Xenopus tropicalis: one gene and its partners. The protein of the gene in region 5 binds, or shares a complex with, the protein of the main gene of each other region. Links are inferred from orthologs where the notes say so. Each region holds a gene or a part of one and is shown on either strand. Other genes may lie near its edges. The genes, in order: smarcd1, smarcd2, smarce1, smarcc2, dpf3, arid1b and actb.

What was found.
Region 1: dpf3 (region 5) and smarcd1 share a complex: the UniProt entries of both Homo sapiens proteins name them as parts of the BAF complex. The link is inferred for Xenopus tropicalis from reciprocal best matches to the Homo sapiens genes DPF3 and SMARCD1.
Region 2: dpf3 (region 5) and smarcd2 share a complex: the UniProt entries of both Homo sapiens proteins name them as parts of the BAF complex. The link is inferred for Xenopus tropicalis from reciprocal best matches to the Homo sapiens genes DPF3 and SMARCD2.
Region 3: dpf3 (region 5) and smarce1 share a complex: the UniProt entries of both Homo sapiens proteins name them as parts of the BAF complex. The link is inferred for Xenopus tropicalis from reciprocal best matches to the Homo sapiens genes DPF3 and SMARCE1.
Region 4: dpf3 (region 5) and smarcc2 share a complex: the UniProt entries of both Homo sapiens proteins name them as parts of the BAF complex. The link is inferred for Xenopus tropicalis from reciprocal best matches to the Homo sapiens genes DPF3 and SMARCC2.
Region 6: dpf3 (region 5) and arid1b share a complex: the UniProt entries of both Homo sapiens proteins name them as parts of the neuron-specific chromatin remodeling complex. The link is inferred for Xenopus tropicalis from reciprocal best matches to the Homo sapiens genes DPF3 and ARID1B.
Region 7: dpf3 (region 5) and actb share a complex: the UniProt entries of both Homo sapiens proteins name them as parts of the BAF complex. The link is inferred for Xenopus tropicalis from reciprocal best matches to the Homo sapiens genes DPF3 and ACTB.

What each region holds. Positions count from the first base shown.
Region 1 is NC_030678.2:148,800,767-148,804,771, reverse strand, and holds the start of smarcd1 (SWI/SNF-related matrix-associated actin-dependent regulator of chromatin subfamily D member 1), read right to left. Parts: upstream 2,801-4,005; 5' UTR 2,781-2,800; coding exon 2,625-2,780; intron 1-2,624. UniProt on the Homo sapiens protein: Involved in transcriptional activation and repression of select genes by chromatin remodeling (alteration of DNA-nucleosome topology).
Region 2 is NC_030686.2:15,729,376-15,732,712, forward strand, and holds the end of smarcd2 (SWI/SNF-related matrix-associated actin-dependent regulator of chromatin subfamily D member 2), read right to left. Parts: intron 2,634-3,337; coding exon 2,532-2,633; intron 2,442-2,531; coding exon 2,388-2,441; 3' UTR 501-2,387; downstream 1-500. Other genes in the region: psmc5 (26S protease regulatory subunit 8), read left to right, coding at 92-145. UniProt on the Homo sapiens protein: Involved in transcriptional activation and repression of select genes by chromatin remodeling (alteration of DNA-nucleosome topology).
Region 3 is NC_030686.2:8,337,395-8,340,894, reverse strand, and holds part of smarce1 (SWI/SNF-related matrix-associated actin-dependent regulator of chromatin subfamily E member 1), read right to left. Parts: intron 2,553-3,500; coding exon 2,448-2,552; intron 1-2,447. UniProt on the Homo sapiens protein: Involved in transcriptional activation and repression of select genes by chromatin remodeling (alteration of DNA-nucleosome topology).
Region 4 is NC_030678.2:137,495,662-137,499,161, reverse strand, and holds part of smarcc2 (SWI/SNF complex subunit SMARCC2), read right to left. Parts: intron 3,078-3,500; coding exon 2,947-3,077; intron 2,067-2,946; coding exon 1,995-2,066; intron 1,570-1,994; coding exon 1,456-1,569; intron 1,244-1,455; coding exon 1,090-1,243; intron 788-1,089; coding exon 668-787; intron 547-667; coding exon 484-546; intron 381-483; coding exon 122-380; intron 1-121. UniProt on the Homo sapiens protein: Involved in transcriptional activation and repression of select genes by chromatin remodeling (alteration of DNA-nucleosome topology).
Region 5 is NC_030684.2:106,429,046-106,432,545, reverse strand, and holds part of dpf3 (zinc finger protein DPF3), read right to left. Parts: intron 1,530-3,500; coding exon 1,369-1,529; intron 1-1,368. UniProt on the Homo sapiens protein: Belongs to the neuron-specific chromatin remodeling complex (nBAF complex).
Region 6 is NC_030681.2:52,286,617-52,290,116, forward strand, and holds part of arid1b (AT-rich interactive domain-containing protein 1B), read left to right. Parts: intron 1-1,769; coding exon 1,770-1,979; intron 1,980-3,500. UniProt on the Homo sapiens protein: Involved in transcriptional activation and repression of select genes by chromatin remodeling (alteration of DNA-nucleosome topology).
Region 7 is NC_030685.2:46,572,744-46,576,850, reverse strand, and holds the start of actb (actin, cytoplasmic 1), read left to right. Parts: upstream 1-1,307; 5' UTR 1,308-1,333; intron 1,334-2,368; 5' UTR 2,369-2,374; coding exon 2,375-2,497; intron 2,498-3,486; coding exon 3,487-3,726; intron 3,727-4,101; coding exon 4,102-4,107. UniProt on the Homo sapiens protein: Actin is a highly conserved protein that polymerizes to produce filaments that form cross-linked networks in the cytoplasm of cells.

The DNA of each region.
Region 1 (4,005 bases), on a different chromosome or scaffold from region 5:
GAGTGGAGTAAGTGGATGTCTAACATAATAGACAGAACACGACTTCCCCCTTTCAGCTCTCTAATCTCTTGACTGATGTCCCATGGAGTGGTTCAGTCTCCCGCAATAGATCTCTGTTATTGCAGGTGTCTAACCACTCTGAAATGTCTTTCCACCGACAACAATAGGAGTTGCTGGTGGAAAGGCCAATGTTCACTTAGTCTGCTTTTTATCCTTAGCACGCAGGTGAGGTTCAAAAGAAAACAGTTATGTCCCATACTATGTTTGCCCTCAAGTCACTGGCTTTTAACAGGGTGGACAGCTGAAAAGGAAGAAGTTAACTTCTAGCTATTATGTATTGACATACTGGTCAACATACATGGCCGGGGGTCAACATACATGGCAGATAAACTGCCAAATCCGGTCTGAAGGACCCAGCGGCTTAAATCTGCCCGTGCATGGTCACCATAACTCTGGGTTTTTTTAACAAGCAATAAGGCAGCACCAGGCTTTGAGTATGGTGTATTTGCTACAATAAATACACCATACTGTAATGTGTTAAAAGTTACACGGACAAACATTACAGTACACAGTTTTAACAGAACAAAAAATCAACAATTTACAACCTCCATATAACGTGAGTGATCAGAACAGCAATCCCAAATGTTATATATTCATAGAGCGACAGACAGCACTTGACCCCAAATGTCAGTAAGAGAACATAGCTAAATATAATACAAACAGCATGTAAACGTAGTACAAGTATGCAATCCATTATCCGGAGACCCATTATCCAGAAAATTTTAAATTACAGGAAGGCCATCGCCCATAGAGTACATTTTAATCAAATAATTCACAATTTGTATATTTATTTTTCTCTGAAATAAAACAGTACCTTGTACTAGATCCTAATTAAGATAGAATTAATCCTTATTGGAGGCAAAACAATCCTACGGGGTGCATATTTAAAAATTATTTAGTAGACTTAAGGTATGAAAAAAAGAGCACGTATCCAGAAACTCCTGGGGTTCAAGCATTCTGGATGACAGGTTCTATAGCAAAGAGGCAAGCAGGAGTCATTGGGGATTGATGCATCGAGTCCGGAAGCAGTAAGGCTGTGCAGTTGAATACCTACATTTTGATCCTATACCTGTACTATTGGAGCAACACTATATGATACATTTTAATTTTTTTCCTCCCACAAGGGGCCCTGTTACCCTAGGAAATAATTCCAAATTGTTTTATATTGTGTTTGTCAAGCAAAATAAACTTTATATAAATTATGTAAATCTTGTGTCCATCAGTCTTGGAATTCACAATCACAGCAAGCAAGCAGGCAGGCGCCATTTTGTGGGCACGGTTATTAAACAAGATTTTGGCATTATACAAAACTTGCCTTATGTGCCACAACAGGAGACCTGATGCCCATGCCCTGGCTACACAATTAGTGAGGGGGAAAAGTGACTGCTCGATGGAAAGTGAAAGTAATTATCTGGCCTGCCTCTATGAATAACGCATAGGGATAGGGAAGTCAATATATAATTGACAGCTGAGATTTCTACATAGCTTTGAAATGCATATGGATGTGTTAAAAAAAAAAAAAAAAAAAAAGTAATTTGGATTTCATGGTTAATTTGAAAATGACTTTTATAATACAGCTTTTTTTATGCCTGGGTGACAAGTTCCCTTTAAAGGGAATCTCTGGACCAACGGACTGGAAACCATTGGTAACCCTAAAACCCTTTAGTCATGGACTGTGCTGCCATCTCCACAACTCTGTGCATCCTATGCTGCAGGGAAACATCAGGAGTGGGCAGACCAGAGATGCGCAGCAAGGAGCACCCCTAGCAGTACCCAGTTGAGCCGATCCCTACAAATTTATGTGGCCCTAACCTTATGTGGGGGGGTGACAGCACAAACCAAAAACAGTGACTGACTTTGAAATAAATGATTAGAATAAGTGAGCCCAACACTTTGGCTACAAAAATTTGTCAGGCCTTATATATGAAAAAGCCTTTCAGACTGTCTGCCATAATGAAAGAAAATGTTATTCTGAGCAACTTTCCAACATACATACATTAACAATTCAGTGGTTTTAATATAATGTATAATTGTAATATTTGCTGTGAAAAGTGCATGTTTATCCCTTTCTGTTCTCAAAAGTCAGTTCTCTAACAGATCAGCTAACAGGTTGGCCCCCAATACACTGTCCAGAATACACATGCTGCTTCTGATCGGACTGACATTTCCAAGTATATATATATAAAACCACAGGAAATGTATTTTATATTTTAAAGTTGTTTAGAATTATATTTTCTTTTTAATAAGCAAAGAAAGAGTTTTGGTTAGAGTAGGAGTTCTGTAGAAGTGACCGGGATGCTGCAGGACTGGGCGCCCAGTAGGTATCAGTACCCCTCCCCCATTACATCTCAGTCCGCCAAGGAATAAAGTGATGGGCCAGGGATGTCCAACTTGCGGGCCCCCCTACCTATAGGCTACCGCACTTAATATAGCGCGCTGCCAGAACTGCATCCAGCTGCAGGAAGGCGGCTACTGGCCCCCATGGCTAGCTCACACTCCGTTATCTCCCCCTCCCCTTAATGATGGCCTCCTGAGACGCTACATCCCACATCACATTCTCTTACCGGGTAAGCAGCTCCAGGCATTGGAGAGCGGTACATCCCCTGCCCAGGGGCAGGGCCCATTCTTACCGCTGGGCCAGGGGTACCGGGACCCAGAGCAGCCGTAGCTGAACCGGACCCCCCCGGGGTCACTGATTGGAATCCAGCCCGCGCCGCCATCGCTTTGCAACAATGGGGCCGGAACCGGAAGTACCGTGTCACAGAAGGTGGCAGAGGCTCCTAGTGTGGAGTTAGTAAGCCGGCATGAGTGAAAAAGCGGAAACTCTCAGCCGCCATTTTAGGTGTGGCAACAACTGTGTTTCTATGGTATGTGAGGCGGTGGAAGGTCTCCGTGCCTGAAGCGGCCATTTTAGATTATGGTAAATAGCAATATGACAGGGATTGGTTTGGCGGGCACTTGCGGGTTTTCTCTATGCGCTTTTGAAACTGTCAGCTATTATTTTTCCACACTTAAAGATGGCGCCGTTTCGCTCTACATTGCGCTTATATTGAGTCAATAAAAAGGCGGGCAATGGGGTTGTTTCGTATGTATTTATAAAGAACTGTAAGTTTGTGCGGGGCGTTATAATAGTTGGATGAATTGGCCAAGGGTTTGTGTGCAGTCATGCTTCCAACCTGCCGCTTGTGTATTCAATAAGTGGCCTGTTTGTAGCGGGAAGATGGGAACACGACATTAATAAGGCCAGGAATGCTTCGGGCTGGGATTGGATGGATATTATGCAGGGCATCTCTCTCTATGCATTTATGTTTTGAAATCAGTGGGCCAAAGTCATTTAATCCTTTAATACACTAGCTATTTATTTATTGGATGAATAAGAAACTAATGGCATTTTGGTGCCACTTTTTATGCCCAGAACCATTTTGGGCCAAGCTAGAACATTGGGTATATTATGGAGCTAGAACATTATGTATATTATGGAGCTAGAACATTATGTATATTATGGAGCTAGAACATTATGTATATTATGGAGCTAGAACATTGTGTATATTATGGAGCTAGAACATTATGTATATTATGGAGCTAGAACATTATGTATATTATGGAGAGCATCCCCGCCTGTTCCTCTGTATCTCAGTGGCCCAAAGTCATTAATGCTAGATAAGAAACTGAACAAATAAAATGCCAACTTCAGAGCCATCAAGTCTGTGCACATTGTCTATAACACCCCCCATATGGCACTGAAAGCTCTTGCACTAATTATGTGTCTCTCATGTTTAATTTAGTGCAATGTGCCTTGTAATAGCTACTGTTACTCATGCAAGCTTGCACAGTGACCATTTTAGTGTTATTATTAGAAAGTCTCAAGTGTTTTGAAGCCCAAAAGTCAATGATTTAGCCTGCATTAAATCTTGAGGATTGTTTTTGGTGCCATGGCAAAAGACA
Region 2 (3,337 bases), on a different chromosome or scaffold from region 5:
GAGTATAAAATGCTGTACAAAAGCCGGTTTGGATCTCACCCCTTTAAAGTGCTGCATTTTAACCATGAATCTCTTATCTTTCTTGTACCAGGTGATGCAGAAAGACAGCGAGAAGAACATGTCCATTAAGAAGCTGTGGAAGTGATTTTTTTTTTCGGTTCCCATTACACTCTGCTCCCAGCTGAAGCCCTGCAATGTCAGCCTGTTTTGATTATTAAACCCAGCGTTCCCAACAAGGCTCGCAGTAAATTATCAGAAAACTCAACACAAACTCCTGTAATCTAAAGATCTTTAACACCTGGCTTTCCAGTTTTTTTTTTGCTAACAGGGAATGCTGGGAGCCACAATATGGAAGCACCCTGAAGCCTATTATTCTAGGAGACCACGCTTTCTCTATAAATTAGACTATTCCATTGGGCATTTAGTACGGCGGGATTTTGGTTTTGTAACGGATATGTGTATGTTATCTCATGTGAAATAAATACAAAAAAACAAACTTAAAAAAAACTTATTTTTATTAAACATTGAAACATTTGTGCCAACAAAAACATTTAATGTTGAAGTACATTCAGCCCCAGCTCCCCAAGCGCTATGTCTGTAAACAGCATAGGTATGATCATGGCTTGTGTGATTAAAATGCATATTGCAGGGGGCAGGGACACACAGGCATCCAAATAACTTGCAAGATCGTTTCAGATTTTTTTTTTTTAAAGTAGCCTGTGACTCTTTAGATGCTGCAGAACTGTAGCCAACGCCTCACCAGCGTCAGATACTGGGTAGTTCGGCAGCAGCTGCAACACACAATTTGGCAATATCTGGTATACAATCTGTCAACAATAAATTTTAACAAGCATTAAGAAACTGTAGAACATATATAGCGCACACTCTTCCACATTAAAAGGACAAGCTACACCAAACAGTAAATGAAATATTTACTTCCATATTTTGTTTTTTTAAAGTTTATTGTCTTCAGTGTAGCCTTAGAAAATACATATTCAGGGTCTGCCCCCAAATTACTTTTTGTAGAATGAATGTGTATTTTCATTTATTGGTGTCACTTGCCCTTTAAAAACCCCCTGATATGCACGCTTAGTGGCACAGAATATGTGAATTTGGTCCCAAACTAGGTTTTATGCATAGATAAATGGGAAAATTGCCCTGAGGAAATAAAACCATATGGCTATTAGCTGCAACCCGGCTACCCCTGAATCACATTCATAGCAACCCCACGTCCCCGTCCCCACAGACATTATCCTATTGTCAAAGGGGGTCATTCCATATACAAAGGACTGGTTATAGACTAACTGAGCAGAATGCCAGGTAATGCTCTTTGTCAAAGAAGGCACGCTGCCGCTGCTGGTGATATTAACTAGTGCAAAGTCTCTTTAAATATAATATAGCATGCACAAGGATACATGAACCCAAAACAATGCCTACATTTTCCTTTTGGCTGAAGCAGTTCTTTACCCTCCCCAAGCAGAAAAACAGCAGTCACCTCTCCCCCCCACCTCATAACATATAGTGCAAATAGTGTTTGCAAATAAACATGTTAACATACAAGAACAAGAATATCTGTTTGGTAGAAGCCATGCCAGTAGTGACTTACACTCACACCTAAATGGGACTGTTTGGGGAAGGGGGATTCCTGAGTTCTCATTTAATAAAATGGCATGGAGCAAGAAGGTAGGGTATCGGAGCAGCTTTGGCCCTAGTGTACCACATCCTTTATATGATTATCTGCCTATTTATTGGTGGTGGTGCTTTATTTTATACCGATCTACTTAAGGGAACTATTGGACGCAAGCAATATGGCAGCCCCCTGCTATGCAACCATATGTAGGCCACAAGGCGTTCAAGGACAAGGAAAGTCAAATTTGTATTACCTACTGATTATGTAGGGGGGCTTTTCCCACTTGACACCAGTCACCAGTTGATTCCGATTGGCAGCATCCCTACAGTGCTGCTGTACCAGATGACACTGCCATCTTGGCAAGCTGGGTTAGACAAATGCCCCAAGTTCTGGATCACACTTGCAATGCAAAAACCATTAAAGGCCTAATTCTCATGCAAAATGTCCAAGACTACAGGTCTTAATTGAACCCAGCATGTAAAGAGGGCATCACTAAATGGTACAGCCCAAGCAGGGAATTTACCAGTTGGTGACACTTAATTTTTTCTTAACCTTTAAGGGTCTGGAATATAATTTTGGAGCACAGGGAAGGTGCATCTTGAAACGGGGCAGTGATTTAAAACATAGGGAGTTGATTGGAATGTCGTACCTGAGAAATTACAACTTCCCTAAAGACTTTGTGGAGTTGATAAAGACAGGGTAGGGGGAAAGGACACAAACAATATGGAATGTATAGGTTACTGGTTCTGGCTTAGGATTAGGTGAGACGGAGCCCCAAAACCTGCTCCAGTTCTTGCCTCCGTTGCTGCACCTGCAAAAGGAACATTGAGAACAGGTTATCTGGATTATACAGATGCCAGCAAGCTCTTGTACCCACCAGGGGGGGCAGCTAAGTACCCACCTTAAAGAAGATGTGTCTTCCCACAGCTTCCTGTGCCCATGGCTGCTGATAGAACTCAGTGTGTCTCTCCTCCTCTGGGTTGCCCATTGTATCCGTCATGATCTATATAAAAACAGAACCAGCTCACCAATCAGTTACCAGTCTTACAAGCCAATAGGAGAACAGCGTTGCTATGCCCCTAGTGACAAAGCCAGTAACTACAAGGATTCGGAACTGCCAGCAGGAGGCACAAAATGCGTAAGGCTAGTTACATGATTTTTAGGGAGATTTATAATAAACTATAGTTCATTTACACAACATAAACTACTTCCAGTCTACTACTGCAGTTGTCCGGACATGTGCCTGCCTGTTATATTAAATATTATTCCATAATATTATGGAAATATAATATTGAAGGGGGTAGTTTACCTTTAAATTAACTTTTACTATGACATAGACATTGATATTCTGAGACTATTTGCAATAGGCTTATTATTTTTGGTTTTTCAGTTATTTAGCTTTTTACTCTGCAGCTCTTCAGTATGGAATTTAATCAGCTATTTGGTTGCTAGGGCCTTGTTTACCTTAGCAGCCAGGAAGTGAGGTGCTGGCACTGAGTAGAAAGAGAGAAATTAAAAAGTAACAATAGCGCTAAAAGTTTTTTTTAGCTGCTGGGGTCAGTGACCCCCATTTGAAAGCTGGAAAATGCAAAATAGTAGGCAAATAATTGAATGCTATAAAAATAAATAATAAAGACCAATTGCAAAGTTGCTTTGAATAGGACATTTTATAACATACTACAATTTAACCGCCCCTTTAATGGTCAG
Region 3 (3,500 bases), on a different chromosome or scaffold from region 5:
ATAAACAGTGGTGTTGCCTTTCAATCATGGGGGATCTATTTTCTCAGACTCTCCTGTAAAATTCCACAATTCCCACAATGCAATTTGAATAATTCATGTCACGGACAAAACACCGCAGTAAATATACGGCAACAGCATTGCCTTTGCTAGAGAAATCCATAACTGGATCCCCTTTAGCTTCCAAACCAAAAAATACAAGTCATACAATACAACTTGAGAGCTTCTTGCACAATGTAAATAATACATATAATGCAGAATTAAAGAAATAGTCTTAACGTGGCCATACATGTGTCGACCACTGCCACTCCCAGATGAAATGTTCAAACCTGCCCCATAGCTGAACTGATAGATACCTACAGTAAATGTATAGCAGTCTAATGGCCACATTATTCCTAAAAGGAATCCATGTTTCTCTAATGAAGAATTTCCCAATCTTCCATAGGCTCACAGTGTAATACAACCCCCCCCCTTACCTTCTACTGTAAAGTGATGAGATTCTGGGACTTTATGTAGCTTTTATAGTGGGTGATGAAGAAATATCTCTAGGAAGTAGAGGGACTCAAGTCTCAGAATTCATCACTTCATAATGGAACATGGTGAGGGAGGTATTTACACACTGAGGGGGCTATTGGTCTTAAAGAGCACTGAGACAGACTATCATGGTTCCTTTTCAATCTGTGGAATCAGGTATGTCTGTCTAAAGTTCATATAACTGTTGTGCGCTTTTTTCTTTTAAAAATAAAAGCCTGAATCATGTCTAATGAAACGGTAAATAGTCCTGTAACAGACGGGGAGATCAGTCGCCGTGCAACAAATCTCCCTTGTCGCGGGTGACTAATCTCCCTGAAATGCCATCCCACCAGCTAGAATGTAAATCGCCGGTGGCATGGGTAATGCGGCATGGCGTTTTGCCAAAATTGCCTTGATAGGAAACTTTGCCGATTTCGGCACCGCGTTTGCCATCCCACCCCTAGCCGGTGGGATGGCATTTCAGGGAGATTTGTCCCACGGTGACTAATCTCCCCGTCTGTCACAGGCCTTTTACGGAAAAAAACCCCACACCATTAGCACTGATGCTTCACAGCGCAAATGTCCTGGATTAAAATCCAAAAAAAAAAAAAAAAATATACAAAATGAGTAAAACTTTCACACTCCAGATTTAGATCTTAATTAATGTACAGAGCTATGTAGCTTGCCGGCGCTATATAAATACATGTCTTTCACTGAAAATAAACAGATGGCTTGTCAGAGGCTGAACTGTGCAGATAGTAATTATGGTAGGATGCAGAGACCCCTTTGATTCTTCATAACATAATTCTGTACATATAAATCAAGGCCTGTAGCCTCAAGGTTGCATTGCGGATCCTATTAATGGCCAGAAGCAAAAACCAGTTGAACCGACTCATAGGATAATGGCAAATTTAGAGGCTAGCATAGTCAATTTGTTTGAAACTCTGCCAGTGTGCATGCAGGGTAATTCTCTATATCCCCCAAAATAATGACAATGTGCCCAAACATGATGGCACTACGGAAAGTGCACACATTACCAGACTTACTAGCATGCTCCAAATTTGGTGAAATATAGGTAAGAAGGTGGCCCTTAACATGAAGTGCTGGCTACCAGCTATAAAATGCCTATGTAAGTATTGCCCTACTGAGTAAGGCTAATGCCAGACGAGGCGCAGGGCAGATATTTTCGGCAAGCAGAAAAGCACTTGCCGAAAATACCACACTACTCCTCCTACATGTGCCTGCACCCGAATGAATGGAATACGCTCGGGTGCAGGCACATGTAGCCGAAATATGAATAAAAACACGAGACTTTCAAACTCTTGCGTTTTTATGTGTATTTCCTGCACCTGAGTGTATTCCATTCATTCGGGTGCAGGCACATGTAGGAGGCGTAGGGCAGAATTTTCGGAAATCGTTTTTCCGCTTGCAGAAAATATCCGCCCTACGCCTCGTCTGGCATTAGCCTAAAACTTAAGGCTTGTGAACAGCATGTAAATCACCAACCCCAGTAAATATGGCTCACAAAATTATTTGTAGGTGCCCTTAAGGCACAGCAGGAATTAACCCTGCCAGAAAGCCAAAAACTAAAATGCACAGCTAATCAGAGGTAACCAGCTCCTTTACAAACCAGTACAGCAATTAGCTGGGGCTGGAGTGAAGGGCAATGGCATTCAATGCATAGACCTTAAGTTTAAATGTAATAAACATTCATGCAATATGATTATTTACAGCCCCTAGGCAACATAACCTTTAACTTCAGAACAATCTTATGTTAGTATAATCTACAAAGTGAAAATACTGTGCAAACATGGATAAATGCAATGCATTCATTTTTTAGGCACAAATAGCCACTACTGGGTTAAATATCACCCCCCCAAACACCAGCTTTAGCTGTGCAGAAACGCCAAGAGTGACGTATCTGTTCATTCTCCTACCGTTACCCTGCTGTTGCTGCCTGCGTTCCCTCCCAGCCTGTAGTTGTTGTAGGCAAGATGGCTGTATGGATTGTATCCCACAAACCCTGGTGTGCTGGGCATTTGCTGATGGAAACAAATGAGACAAAAAACACAAATGAGAAATGAGCTCAAACTAGTGGGAAAAATTCTATATTAAAAAATAAATAAATTCTGGAGATAAAATAAATAGAACACAAATGAATGTGATAAGCGTATGGCATGTAAAAGCAGCTGGGACCTTCAAAGGTGAATGTACAATATTCCGAGGGTTAAAAGGAAATTTAATCAAATTTATTGGTGTCAGACTTTAAAGGAGAAGGAAAGGTAAAAACTCAGTAAGCTTTATCAGAAAGGTCTATGTAAATGCAGCCATAAGCACTCACAGAAACGCTGCACTGACTTCTTGTGTCTGTAATTCATGTGCCAGAGACATGCAGCTCTCTGCTTTCTCCTCTCTCCTGCTTCCCCCTCCCTCAAGAATGCTAAGAGCTCACCCCCCCCCCAAGGAATGTGGATCTGAGCCAATCAGCAGGAAGCTTCCTCATAATCTAACTGAGCATGTACACTTGGTCTCGGTGAAGGAGTGAGGAGTGAGGCATTATGGGAACTTTCTTTACACAGCTCAGCATTTTTTCTTCCTGTTTGGCTTCTGATCATCTGAACAGGTGAAATATGGGGAGACTTAAGGGCACCATTGAGACAACTGAAGGTATGCCTGCGGCTTGAGATTAACTCTTTACTAGCCTTTCCTTCTCCTTTAAGGAACCACAATGAATTTGTACATATACAGGCCTGGCTGGGGGCTTGGGCCTACAGCCTGCTCAGAGGCTGCCTAGATTTCTTCGATATCATTTTAATATAACCTGGCCTGACAGAAAATCAGTACAGTAGGTTGGTGTGAGCACTTCATTTCTGCAGCTGTAAAATACACTACCAATATTAATTGTAAGAGTGCCATATTGACTAGTGGCCTTTCCCAACCACGTTTAAGCTTAAAAGATCAGGTTGTACTTAATGAATCGTGCAGAGTAA
Region 4 (3,500 bases), on a different chromosome or scaffold from region 5:
GAAACATTACAAAGTCTTTTAAAGGTTATTAATATTCCCAACATTTCTGGGGCACTAGGGGCCAAAATGCCCCTGAATACAGCAAAGACTGTACCAACAAATAAAAATAAAAGTAACAAACCCAAAGCTGATTTTGCTGCAGCTGATGCTACCCGAGGATCTACTACAGATGCAAGGAAGGCTACTGTGCTCATCACAGGATTCCCCGATTGGCTAAAGGGTATGGGCTGATAGGCCAGTGGTCCCAGAGAGGCCTCAGAGTCCTCTAGATATGGATCCTCAATGGGAAGTCGTAAGAAATGCAGGATACACTCGTCCTGTGTGCGGCTCCCCACATGCTCAGATACTTTGTTCCAATCATCTTTATACATTTCCAGAGCCTGTGTTAGGTAGGCATAGGTAATTGGCATACATTTTCAAAATATCTAACTAAATTCTAAGTGCCAAATCATTTATTCAGTGAAGCATATCCAGATTTCACACCTCAAGTAGCAACAGCGTCTCCTGCTCAGTCCATTCGCGTGTTGCACTGGCAGCAGCCTTACTCTGTTCAAGTAAAAAAAAAAAATCCACATATTACTAAACACTAAGTGTAACAAGAAGTATTACCTAAAATTACAAATTTTAAAGACTAAAGAAAACTTTGAAATACACTGTTTTGATTTACCTTGGATGTTGTGTTCTTCTTACTATACATATCTGTCCGTAAGCCGAAATTCTGAAGGTCACTTGGTTTATCCTTACTTTTATCAGGGAAATTGAGCATCTGTTGTGAAGCAGAGCTCTGCTAGAAAGAAGAAAATGAGACATTCCATTTCATGTCAGATGCAGAGTATATTGATAACCAAAGAGAAACGTGCGATTCAGGCATTTCTCTGACAGAAGAAAAACAGCCGTGGGTGACACCACCTTAAAAGTGAACTATAGAAAAGCTGGTGACATGGAAAAATTATCATAATGAAATAGGCCAAAGACAAAAAAAAGCCGTTTGGAGCTATGTAGTACAGGTAATGAAAACATGTGCACTGAATATATAAAAGGGAGGTGAAACCATAAAATGACTCGTCTAAAAAGCCTTGTCATGCCTACCTGTGGTGTTTTAGGCTGCAGTGGAACCAGTCCTGATGGAGTATCAGCTAAGACATGGAAATGTGATGTTGGAGGAGGGCCCATTGGAGTAGGACGACTCTCAGCATCCACTTGGTAGTTAATGAGCCCCCACTGTTCTAGGAAGGCATGAACCCTAAAGCAAGAAGAACAACAGAGCTGGGACAATTATATCCTCCTCTTAATATAATTATTAACTGTGTAACACTAACATATATAGAAAATATATATACAAAATCATAATGTGCTCCCAAACTTTCTAGTATGCACAGCTATTCATTGCTAACCCTACTACATATGATCATTGCCTTTTAATCCTCTGAGATGACGTTCCCATGTCACCCGCACCTCATGATAGCACAGACATCCCCTGCCAAGTTGCGACGACATGCTGTAGAAGTAAGGTATTCCTGAGGGTTTAGTCTATAGGTGTCAATCATGAAGTTTCTATAGGCAAGGTATCTAGAAAAATAGGGAAAAAGAACAGAAGGGGTCATTTGTGTTGGTTTGTGAAATGTAAGGTTATGAGACTGTGACACATTCTTTGCACAAAGTCTCATCAAATGAATCCTGTGCTGTAACGTATATGTAAGGTTAGTTTACCAAATAATAAATACATAAAGCAGTTTTCCATTATGCAAGACTTGTGCAGTTGAATAGCAGAAAAAGAACACAAGGCCAATTTTAAACAATTTATCTTCTAAACCAATTAAAAGATAACTTTCTTCTATGAACAAAATATATATTTTATTGTAACTATTTTATAGAGAATTGGCCTGCTACTCTAAACCTTTCCCTTCTGTTTAACTTCTGAAAAATCAAGCACTTAAACTTTTTCATGCCTTCTTATCAGCCACACCTATAACCATATATTGTGTAAGACTCACATCTCTGGTGTTTTGGACTTGTTCTTGCCATTGAAGAACTCTGGTAATGCCCGACGTTCAATAGCATGCACACTGAAGGAGAAAGGGAGATTAAAATAAATATGCAATAAAAGCAATAATGTTAACTTATTGCAAAGCAGTCTGTTACCATTCAAAAATGGTGACAAAAACAAACAAACCCCCACTTAAGGAAGGCTCTAGCCATGTATTCTAAAAAGCTTAATATAAAAGGTATACAGTGAGACAAAGATTAAAATCAGCATACTTTAAATTGCTCTGTAATCAATAAAAATAAAATGTAATAGAAATGTTTTATCTCCACCATCAAAAACCCTGTTTCTTGCTCAACCAAATGTGGTTGTGTAAAAATAAAAAAAGAACCCATGAGGCTGTGTTGGTGCAAATTGTCCAGAAAAACATACTAGGAGAGTCATGAGCTTGACACCTCCAGTTCTACAGCTGGCAGTCACGATTAAGGGCAACAGAACAGGGGCAATTATTCGCGTTTTATTGCCAGAGTGATTTGTAGTTCCATAGGCAGGGGATACAGCCACAGACTTAAATGGAGATTCCCCTGCAAGCATACTGTATATGGACTTGTTTTGCTTCCAAGCAACAACTGCCTGAGAAGCAAGTGCACTTGCACATACAGGTCACTGCCATTCAAGTCAGTGGGGATCGAGACCCAGGAAGCTACAAAATACCTGGATCACTGATGTGCCATTGCCCTAAGAGCCCACCTGTATCTCAGGTAATGATGAATAAAGATGGAGTTGTTGAAACAGTAAAATAAAGGACACAATGTTATACATAAATCATCTATTTGTGCTGTGAAATGTGCTGCTTGTCTTTATTCATCACAATAAATCAAGGTTCCTTTCACCAAATAAAAAAGAAAAATGATTATCAGAGGATAGTTCCATTGCTATTAAAAGCAAAGAGGAGACTTTACCTGTTATAGTCAAACCAAGCAGCATAGCTAGGAATGATGATATGGTGTGTTTGTTCAGTCACATTGTCCTCATGAAGATCGGATGTTTTCATTTGCTCGCCTTTAATCCCAGATGAGGTCTCATCTTCTTCCTAAACAAATACATGTGAAAAATTCATTGCTTATCATCTGTAAAATGTTTTTCCTGCCAAATATAGCAGAGAATCCATTAATACATTTAATCCCAAAGTGCAGGGGAAACGATAACCCCTCTAGGACACCACAGATTTACAAAGGGCTGGCAATAAACCTGTGAGAGCAGAATTAAAAATCCAATATACATTAAATAAAACATTGCTATTTAAAAGAGCATCTGCCCAGCCGTTTATTTATCTGCAGATATCCTCTCGATGGGTCTCACTAGAGATTTGACAGTACACCCTCCTGTAGACAGGACACTTGAAAAACTGAGGTCAAAAGAGGAATTACGAGGGGTAAAGCCTGACTAGCAGGGCACCCCCCTTTTCTTAGCTGCTCAAGTGTCCTGCCTCCTGGAAGATGAAGCTTTACTCCAT
Region 5 (3,500 bases):
TTTGCAGATAATGCTAATGTGTTTGTTTTCAATGCATTGCAATTTTTTGGCAAGACAGTTTTGCTCATCACTAGTTATGGTCCTAAACACGTGTTCCTAAATTCAATCTGCGTTTTGTTAAACATTGAAAGGGACACTGACACCAAAAAAGGTGTTTTATGTGGATTAATGTAACATGCAATAGTAAAATTGTGTGTTCACTTCATACTCTTTATTAAAGTTTTTACAAATAGTATCAAACATTTAAACCCCTATTTGCACAACAAATAAGCTGTTTGGAATACAATGGGTTTTGGTACTGAAGGGTCAGTGGCACCAGAAAATGAAAAGGTAAAAACTGTGTGTTTGCTTGAGAGGTTTGGGTACAGTCAGGGGAAAGCCAAACCCACCAGGCGCCCTAGGCAATCTGGTCAGCTACCTTGCCCCTGCAACCTCATTCCCCCCTACCCTCTTTCCTCTCCATGTGTGTGCCCAAGCCCGTACCTATTCACAATGACTTTGGGGGGCCATTGCCCCCCCGTGCAATGATAAGCTGTGGGGGCAATAAGGGAGCGAAGACTTGGGGTAGGTAGGAGAGGTTGCTGCCTGGCACCCCCTCAGTGTTGCACTCTAGGCAGGTGCCTCTCCTGCCTACCCCTAGTTCCAGCCCTGGACAGGCCCGGATTTTTTTTAATCGTTTGGAATTGCAGCAGTTATCTGGTTGCTAGGGTCCAATTAACCTAGCAGCCTGGCAGTGGTTTATAAGAGAAATAGGAATATGAGTAGAGGATAAGTAATAAAAGTTAGCAATGAAGAAAAAATTGTAGACTCACAGAGCAATAGTTTTTGGCTGCTGGGGTCAGTGACCCCCATCTGAATGCTGGTAGAAGATTCAGCTGGTCAGAATTGGAAGGCAAATAATTAAAAAGTGATAAAAATAAAAAATGACGACCAATTGAATAGTTGCTAAATATTTGCCATTCTATAACAAACTAAAAGTTAACCCAAAGGTGAACCACTCCTTTAAGATGAAACAGGAGTTAGATTTATTCATGGCTCTCTATACTTAATGAAAATGATTAAAAATGAGAAAGAGAACCTAAGATATATCTCACTGAAAGGTCCTGAAATAACATACCATTGATTAAACACATTATTCAGTGAAATACACAACCATTTATTGGCTCAGAATTTAAACACAAAATTCAAAAAACAGAACATACTATACCAAATGGAAAGGTACATCCCAATGCCCCATGGCACCCACTCTCCTTCTTAACACATTTCGCACACTAGGTGCTTCATCAGAGGACTTCCTCTGATGAAGCACCTAGTGTGCGAAACGCGTTTCTTAATTGTTTTCATCATTTTAAATGTTTTTTAATTCACCTGGCCCCCTGTGTCTCTTTTCCATCCATATGTAACAGTTATTCTGAGCCACACCAGTCTGGGAGTCCAGGAAAGGAAGGCGGACGCTGCGCTCGGCGCATAAGCGGGAGTTGTAGCTTCGGCAGTGTTCGATTGCATCTTTGTAGAACTGATCTCCAAGCCTGCAACAAGAGAAACAGTCCTTATGCATTAGAAGCTGTATGAAGAATACTGTACCCCAACTAACAATAACATTTGCCACCAAGAAGGGTTCCCATGCTATAGAATAACTCTGCCGTACGTTCTGTGTATGAGAAAGAACCAGAGGCAGTGCCCCAGAGCCACTCAGGAACCCTGGACTCGGGATTAGAAAAGAAAAGTAATATATTGATTCCTTTCTTCCATTGTGCAGAACTGTATGTGAATAGAAATTAAAGTTTACATAAAATATACATTTTCTATGTATCCATAGCCACTGGAATGATAAATAGATGATTCCTCTGTAACTGTTGCCTGTTGAGAACCTTCAGAGACAACATGGCAGCTTTTAATTAGATATACAGTGGCTTGCAAAAGTATTCGGCCCCCTTGAACTTTTCCACATTTTGTCACATTACAGCCACAAACATGAATCAATTTTATTGGAATTCCACGTGAAAGATCAATACAAAGTGGTGTACATGTGTGAAGTGGAACGAAAATCATACATGATTCCAAACATTTTTCACAAATAAATAACTGCAAAGTGGGGTGTGCGTAATTATTCAGCCCCCTTTGGTCTGAGTGCAGTCAGTTGCCCATAGACATTGCCTGATGAGTGCTAATGACTAAATAGAGTGCCCCTGTGTGTAATCTAATGTCAGTACAAATACAGCTGCTCTGTGACGGCCTCAGAGGTTGTCTAAGAGAATATTGGGAGCAATAACACCATGAAGTCCAAAGAACACACCAGACAGGTCAGGGATAAAGTTATTGAGAAATTTAAAGCAGGCTTAGGCTACAAAAAGATTTCCAAAGCCTTGAACATCCCACGGAGCACTGTTCCACCGATCATTCAGAAATGGAAGGAGTATGGCACAACTGTAAACCTACCAAGACAAGGCCGTCCACCTAAACTCACAGGCCAAACAAGGAGAGCGCTGATCAGAAATGCAGCCAAGAGGCCCATGGTGACTCTGGACAAGCTGCAGAGATCTACAGCTCAGGTGGGGGAATCTGTCGTGCACTGCACAAAGTTGGCCTTTATGGAAGAGTGGCAAGAAGAAAGCCATTGTTAACAGAAAACCATAAGAAGTCCCGTTTGCAGTTTGCCACAAGCCATGTGGGGGACACAGCAAACATGTGGAAGAAGGTGCTCTGGTCAGATGAGACCAAGATGGAACTTTTTGGCCAAAATGCAAAACGCTATGTGTGGCGGAAAACTAACACTGCACATCACTCTGAACACACCATCCCCACTGTCAAATATGGTGGTGGCAGCATCATGCTCTGGGGGGGCTTCTCTTCAGCAGGGACAGGGAAGCTGGTCAGAGTTGATGGGAAGATGGATGGAGCCAAATACAGGGCAATCTTGGAAGAAAACCTCTTGGAGTCTGCAAAAGACTTGAGACTGGGGCGGAGGTTCACTTTCCAGCAGGACAACGACCCTAAACATAAAGCCAGGGCAACAATGGAATGGTTTAAAACAAAACATATCCATGTGTTAGAATGGCCCAGTCAAAGTCCAGATCTAAATCCAATCGAGAATCTGTGGCAAGATCTGAAAACTGCTGTTCACAAACGCTGTCCATCTAATCTGACTGAGCTGGAGCTGTTTTGCAAAGAAGAATGAGCAAGGATTTCAGTCTGTAGATGTGCAAAGCTGGTAGAGACATACCCTAAAAGCCTGGCAGCTGGAATTGCAGCAAAAGGTGGTTCTACAAAGTATTGACTCAGGGGGCTGAATAATTACGCACACCCCACTTTGCAGTTATTTATTTGTAAAAAATGTTTGGAATCATGTATGATTTTCGTTCCACTTCTCACGTGTACACCACTTTGTATTGGTCTTTCACGTGGAATTCCAATAAAATTGATTCATGTTTGTGGCTGTAATGTGACAAAATGTGGAAAAGTTCAAGGGGGCGAATACTTTTGCAAGCCACTGTAAATAT
Region 6 (3,500 bases), on a different chromosome or scaffold from region 5:
TTTTTAAGATCAAATAACCACTTACTACATAATGACACATTTAATGTGGAGGATTACCAGTATATAAAAATCTAATTAAGTCATGTTGTTTACAAAGCCTATAAAGAAATCTCAGTGTTGTCAGAGCTTAGTGTGCTTATATATGATGGTTCAAAAAAGTTTCCTGGGTCTGCATAAGCAAACATTCTTACCCAGAGCCATGTACAGTTTTTTTTTTATAATTACCTAAGTAATGAATTAAAGAAAAAGGAAATGTAATGTATTATCACCCATATATTGTGCACAGCAGCCCCCCAACCTATGACCTGAGTCAGTAAATGTAATTTTTCCTGCTCTGGTACTGATACATTCTTCTAATCTAATGCTGTTGGTCTGGGAATGCAATGTTCCACTATCTTTCCTGTACTGGTGTGATGGAGGCTGCTGTCTGGACTGCTCATGTGCACCTTAGGAGTGCCTTGTAATGTGCTGAGCATGTCTGTAGCTATGTTCGCTCCAGATAGCTCAGTTCCCTCCCTGAACTGACCTACTAGAGTTTTTCAGACTCTGGCAGCCCATTGGCCTTTCTTGGCAATCTGAAATACATCTTCTAATGTCTTCTTTTACAGCGCTTATAAATGATTTGGGGTGATATCATTCCATAATGTTGCAGAACTGAACAATACTGCAGCATTACCGTATGTTGTTTAGAAAATGTCCAACTTTCTCTACAGACGTGAGACATTTCCAGCCTTTGATTATCTAATTTTCTAAACTGTTTTGCTCCATTTTTCTACTTTAAACTTTCCCACAAGCTGCAGCCTGAAGGAAGAAATCTGACCACACCACCAGAAGAATCTTCTTTTTAAGTGGAGACTTTTAACATTACAGTTTTTCAGAGTTCAATTTGTATCTTGCAAGGTTAATTATTTACTGTAGTAAAAGCACACCTTACCACACAGGATTAAATGAGGAGCTAGTAGTCAGTGATGCAATAGCTTTTTTTTTATAGACAACATTCCAGATTCTTACTTGCTGTACCTTGCTTTTATTATTTTGACCAACTTTACCTAATTTCATAAAAGCACCTGTTTTTTTTAAAGAAATCTTGATATGCTTAATCAGTTGATAGATGATTTTGTATTTGCTTTAAGATTTGTATTCTTTGTTATTTGTTTCTTTATTATGTGGGCAAAGGAATATCTTTACTTTCTGAAAAATATCATCTCAATTTCCTTATTCTTGCATAAAAGTGATCCAGTTACCTAGTCCTGCAGCCTTTACTTACAGGCACCCTCATGCTGTTGATTTGACCCAAAAGATAATCTGATATTTTATCTGTATATCACAACCATCTTTTTTGTGTCTTTCTTATGTTATATATAATTTACATTAAGCACCACAAAGCTTTGCTTGCAAAGGCAAACTTGATAAAATAACGTTTGTACTGTCTGTAGTTATATAAGGTATGCACAGGGTTTTCTGAAGCTATGTAAAACAATTGACCATATGGCATCCATGTAGAACCATTGATGATGATAATTAATTAAATTTTAAAAACAAGAATTGTATAGACAGTGCCAATAACCCTTTCAAACACCATGAATTGCACTTGTAATGAAAATGAAGGTCGTGGTTCAGAAAATTTATAGACCAATTTTTAATGTAATAGGTGAAATATGAATTCATTAACCAGTCTGAGAAACGCCATATTAAGGTGTGTGCCTAGATATTCGTATTAAGTTATCTGCGACTATGTTAATATTCTGTCCCTCTTTTGTATGCTGCAGAAAGCAAGTTCTTCAACAACCACTGGAGAAAAAATCACAAAACTTTATGAATTAGGAAATGAGCCAGAGAGGAAGATGTGGGTGGATCGGTACTTGACCTTCATGGAGGAACGAGGCACTCCTGTTGCAAATCTGCCTGCAGTTGGAAAAAAACCTCTTGACCTTGTCAGGCTGTACTTTTGTGTTAAAGAGATTGGCGGTTTAGCTCAGGTAATACAACTTAATTGATGATTATTGTAATGGCATAATGCTTTGTCTGCCACTTACAGGTATGTGAATTTACCAGTTTCTTAAATCATGGAACAAACTGAATAGGAGAATCACTTGAGGTGTATTAAAATGGTCCACTTAATTTAAACGCCTGTTTTCCAGCTTGTGAGGAATATTTTTTTTCAGAAATATGTATCAACTACATATAGAATACATGAACATAAATATACAAATGTGCACATTCATAATTTACATCACCAATTGCTCATGTGGTTACGCAAAAAGAATACTAGCATCCTACTTTTATAGCATTTTTCTACAATTTACCACGGTTATTGCTGTAAACTCTATGGCACTGTTATTAAGTAATTAATTGTAAGAATTCAGATTCATTTCATATGAGTCTACATTTGGCAGGGGTATTGCTGAGTTGAGAATCTTACCTTAGGCAGTAATGCCCTGCAGGTTTCCAGGGGACACAAAAAAACAGCTCTTCTAGTACAGAGCGGCTCAGGGACCAGAATCACTCTGTTGGCAAACATAAGGGATAATAAAAGTTGTTAACCAAAAAATAATTTGCATAAATAAGAAAAATCCTCATTCCACAATGTAATAAACTTCATTAGACCTCTATTACATTGTGGGATAAATATAAAGGCCTACTTACAGGCAGTGTATCCTTGGTGCAAACAAAATAATCACAATAATTCCCAGGTTCACAAAAGCTATAGTAAATTTGTGCAAAGAAAAAATTTATTTACGCAAAGGAATAATTATTCACGTTGAGAATAATTTCACGTTAATGACATTCCCCATGTCTTCATTTCTGAAAATACTACTGTACCTGCTCTTGTGGCATCCATTTAAATATACTTGTATTCATTTTTACACCGCTAGGTGCTTCACATACATCACGATACTCCAAAATGAATTATTTTACATTATCTCATAATCCCTGAAAAAAAGAAAAAAAAATCAGTGGCTTTGCTGAGAAATTCCCCTGGGTGTCTGTATGAAGTGTTAACCCAGTCATAAGCAGCACAGCAGATCGTTTCCACTACAGAGACATCGGCATCCTGGCACATACACCCTTGGAGCTTTCTGAAAATAAACATATTTTCTTTCCGCATTTACAGCTCCCACAATAATACTAAATTGTGGAATAACACAGTTGCTCTTATTTTTATTGTTTTTTAAATGAGTTCTTAGCAGCAAGGCCTGTTTTAATTGAATCAGGAGCGCGTGAGCGTTTCCATGCTCTTGTACTTTACTGGGATGCAAATTGCTGGCTCCATGCATGTCTCTAATGTAAAGTGCTCAGCATTAGGGGATGCAGCATTCACAAGCCTCAGATGCCTTTTTTTATATTTATTTATTTATTTGCTATCAGCAGGTTCTTTAATAGCTTTATAACTGCAAGTGTGCGGCAGTGCGCCCCCTGAGTGGGAGTAATGAGCGTTAGTTAAAAGAGGCATATTAAGAAAATATAGGGAGATAAACCACAGAATAACCTATATGCTT
Region 7 (4,107 bases), on a different chromosome or scaffold from region 5:
CCCTAGCTTTTGTGAAACCACAACTGTGAAGGGATCCTATCTAGCTGAGGTAAAGGACAGTCTATAGACCACTACAGTTGTAGGACTTTTGGCTTCAGGGTAGGGGATAAATAGGACTCCCCTAGACCTGATGAAGAGGGCCTAAGACACCTGCCCCTTCAGGCCTCCTCGCTGGGGGGGCATTCATTCTTTCCATTTTAAAGGAGGGTCTAAATTTGCTGACCCTTGCATTCTTTTGTTTTTTTTTTGCACCTGGGTGAAAAAGCATGTTCTTCAGGCTTCAAAAAACATATGAGTGAGATTGGCAGGGAAGGTCATAGTCATAGTAAACTTAGACTTTGCTGATAAACTTGGTCTTTGCTGATATGAGGGTTGGTTACTTGGGGAGCTCACATTCCAGTTACTGCATGGGGCTCCAAATGTTTTACTTTAGATTAGTTTAGATTTTTTTTCCTTACATACGTTGCATTTTATTCTCAGGGGGACGGATGATCTTCGACAGTATCAGCTTAACCAATAAATACGTTTATGAGTACCAGAGGTCATTGTAGAGCTGTAAACTGTAAAGTTAAATAACAAATGGTTGACCTGCATAGGAAATGGAAGTATGGACAAAGAGCAGTATCGCTGACTCAGAGCAGGGAAGGCGATTTAAAAGTGTTTATATAAGGAAATATGTGCTATAATGATACTTTTCTTTCCCTTACAACACAGCCATACATGAAGAAATAACTAGGCACTATCACAATATGCTGGCGCTAGAGACAAGAAGTGCAATCGAGTCACTGTATTCATGGATTGTACGCAACACAATGCAGTGCGTCACTGTAACGTTACAAAGCTTACTGTCTCGGCAGGCTGCAGAAATCCTAACGAACTGCATTTGGTCCTGACATTTCTGCAGACATAAACGTGCAGACTATCTGCTTTGCAAAGCCATGTTTTAAGAGAGTAAATCATTTCAGGCCAATAAAGAATATAAAAAGAAAGAGTTCTGCACCGCGCCCTTTATTATACAGCAATTAATGGAAAGGATAAGGCGTGGTATATCTAAGTGTAGATTTAATGAAACATATATATGTATATTGATATCTATGTATGTACGTATCTGTGTATATACGTATCCGCATCCTAGCTAGTAGGTGTAACTGCCTCACTCTACGCGCCCCCTTCGCCCGCAGTTCCTACAGCCAATCAGCTTCCCAGTTCCTGGAACGCTCCTTATATGGTGCAGCCGGCTGGGGCGCGCAGCATAAAACCGGCGCCCTAGCCCGACAACTGCTCAGTGACCCGCCCGCACAGAAACAGGACAGTGTGTGTGTCGTACTCTCAGGCAAGTAGCGCCGAGCCTGCTATTGTTGTGCTTTTCCTCTGCTATTTCCTGCTTCTATTCGCCTATTTTTCTCTATATATTATTAGAATAAGCATGATTTGGTTCTAATTGGCTATGTTTTTCATAATGTGCTTGAAATAGTTGGTAGCTTAATGTAGCGTTATTTACTTGAAGGTAAGACTTGTTAGTAGACAAGCGTGAAGCCTGGTTCTGGAATTGTGCTAAAGTTCAGTTCCTTATATGCTTAATTAGATCTTAATTGATAAAGGACACTGGAAGTTGTAGGTTGTACATACTGGAGAGCTGGGGAACCATTTTTCTGTTACAGCAGGTTTAACTTGTAAGTTGCATTTAAAAATAGGGTTTTGTTTTTTTTTTGTATCGTTTCCTCTTCTGTAAACTGAGCCCCCAATAGCAGCGCCGCTTGGGGATGTGCGATTGGGCGGTTCCCTGCCGATGTTAGTGTGAGGCTGCACACAAAGCTACATATTGTGTATAAGTGTGTGATGCAATCTGTGTCGGAACAGCCTTTTGCTGTCTAAAATATATTGGCGGTAGTTCTCTCCCGCTTCGGTTTAGACTTTCCATATGCATGTATATCCGTAACTAGAATACAAAAGCGCAAGTTACATCTTATATATTTATTTTGTCCTTGCACTGGTAAAAACGGAGTCACACCTGCAGTATGTGATTCTGTCCTGTAGTGTTGCCTTCATGAAACATTGGGAGTGGTAGTCGGTTGGTTCGATTGCCTAATACCAGCAGTGACTTGTTTCTTTGCCACACCTTCACTATCCATGGCTGGATGGGAGGGGTGCTTGTGTAAATCTTTGCTGTTGCCTTATTTGGTAATACAGAAAATAAATCGATTTCCCTTTGTCTAAATCTGTACAGAAATGGTGCAAACCCCTGCGCCCTCTTGTGACAGACCTTATGAAATGCAAGTAATGGGCAGGAAGCGTCCTTGTGGTATATACCAGCGCTCATAATTTGGGTGGATAATTATCTCAATTTTATTTATTTTTTAAATTTCAGATTACAATGGACGACGATATTGCTGCACTGGTCGTTGACAATGGTTCTGGTATGTGCAAAGCCGGCTTTGCAGGTGATGATGCACCCCGTGCTGTTTTCCCATCCATTGTTGGTCGCCCAAGACATCAGGTATGCCCTTTTCATGCCTTTTTCATTTCATGTCTAAATAAAACCTAGAAATAAAACTAGTAAAGCACCTCTAACAAATCAGTGTGTTGTCCCAAGGAGGTAAAACATTTTTTTTTTTTTTTTATGTATTTAACTGTTAAAGGTGAAACTAATCTGGGGGCAAATAAAACTGCAATTCTGCATGGGTTATAGGTATGTTGGTAACAATATATTTGCCATTGAGTGTTTTTAAACCATACACGTAAGGATAGTTTCCAAAAAGTGTTGCATAAGATGATGCAATTTTTTTTATTTTTTTTTTTTTTTTTACTCTTTCAAATAAACACTGCAGGCAGGAATAATCACATAAATAGCTGTGCCTAGGGCACCCCCCAACTCTTGTGCCCTAGGCTTGTGTCGGTTATTCCTTTAAGCTGGTTTTGGGCACTTCTCGGCAAGGCTGAAACTAGGAGTAGGCATATTTAAAATAAACTCTTTATACTGTCCACACAAACCCTGTTTATTGACTTATGCTGTGTAAGTGCTAAAGCCAGTTACATTTTCCAACCCTGCATGAAAAGAATTTCTTTTCAGAGTGTAATGTGGTTTAATTTAAATGGAAAAATATTTTAATTAAGTGCAGGTTAAGTGTGTGTATATAGATATTTAATATGATATATATATTGTACTTTGCACACTACATTTCCATATTCTTTGCAAATTGCCTACTTCTGTTTATTTGTGAAATACACAGGGGCGTGGTTAACATAGCAAATGTTCTTGCATACTCTTGTTTCCTGTAAGCACAAGATGACAGGAAGTATTACGAAATTAGAGGGCCCTGCCCAAAAGAGCTTTTACTCTAGAATTTCCTCTTAAAGTCTGCATTATGTGAGGTCCATGAAAATCCACTTTATTCATTCCATTGTCTGGCTAGTATTGAATTAAGGCATGCTTTTCATTTACTAAATTACTTAATTTAGTCCAAATTGTCTTACGCTTTATTTTAGGGTGTCATGGTTGGAATGGGACAGAAAGATAGCTACGTAGGAGACGAAGCTCAAAGCAAAAGAGGTATTCTTACACTCAAATATCCTATTGAGCATGGCATTGTCACTAACTGGGATGATATGGAGAAGATCTGGCATCATACCTTCTACAATGAACTCAGAGTGGCCCCAGAGGAACACCCAGTGCTGCTGACAGAAGCACCCTTGAATCCCAAAGCTAACCGGGAGAAAATGACGCAGGTATGTTACCTGTTTTCTGGTGTGAGGGTTTGGGTTGTGGGTTTTGTTTTGTGTTTTTTGTTTTTTAATTATATAATTGCTATTCCTTACAGGGCTGTCCTGGCCTCAAAGTTTACTGGAATCTCAAAGGTTTTTTTTCAGTATTTGCCTGTTTTACATCAAGGGTAGAATACTAACAATGTTAGCGTTGTGTGAAAAGTGCTGAATGATGGCTTGTTTTTCAAAGTTCACTTTGCTTGTGTTTTTCCTCACATTGGCCCTGCCTAAATTTGTGTTGTGTGCAGCAAAATCAAATGCTGTTCTGAAACTACACATGCATGAGTTTTGGATGCCTTTATGCAGGTAATGTGCTAATTGCCTTTTCAACCATTACAGATCATG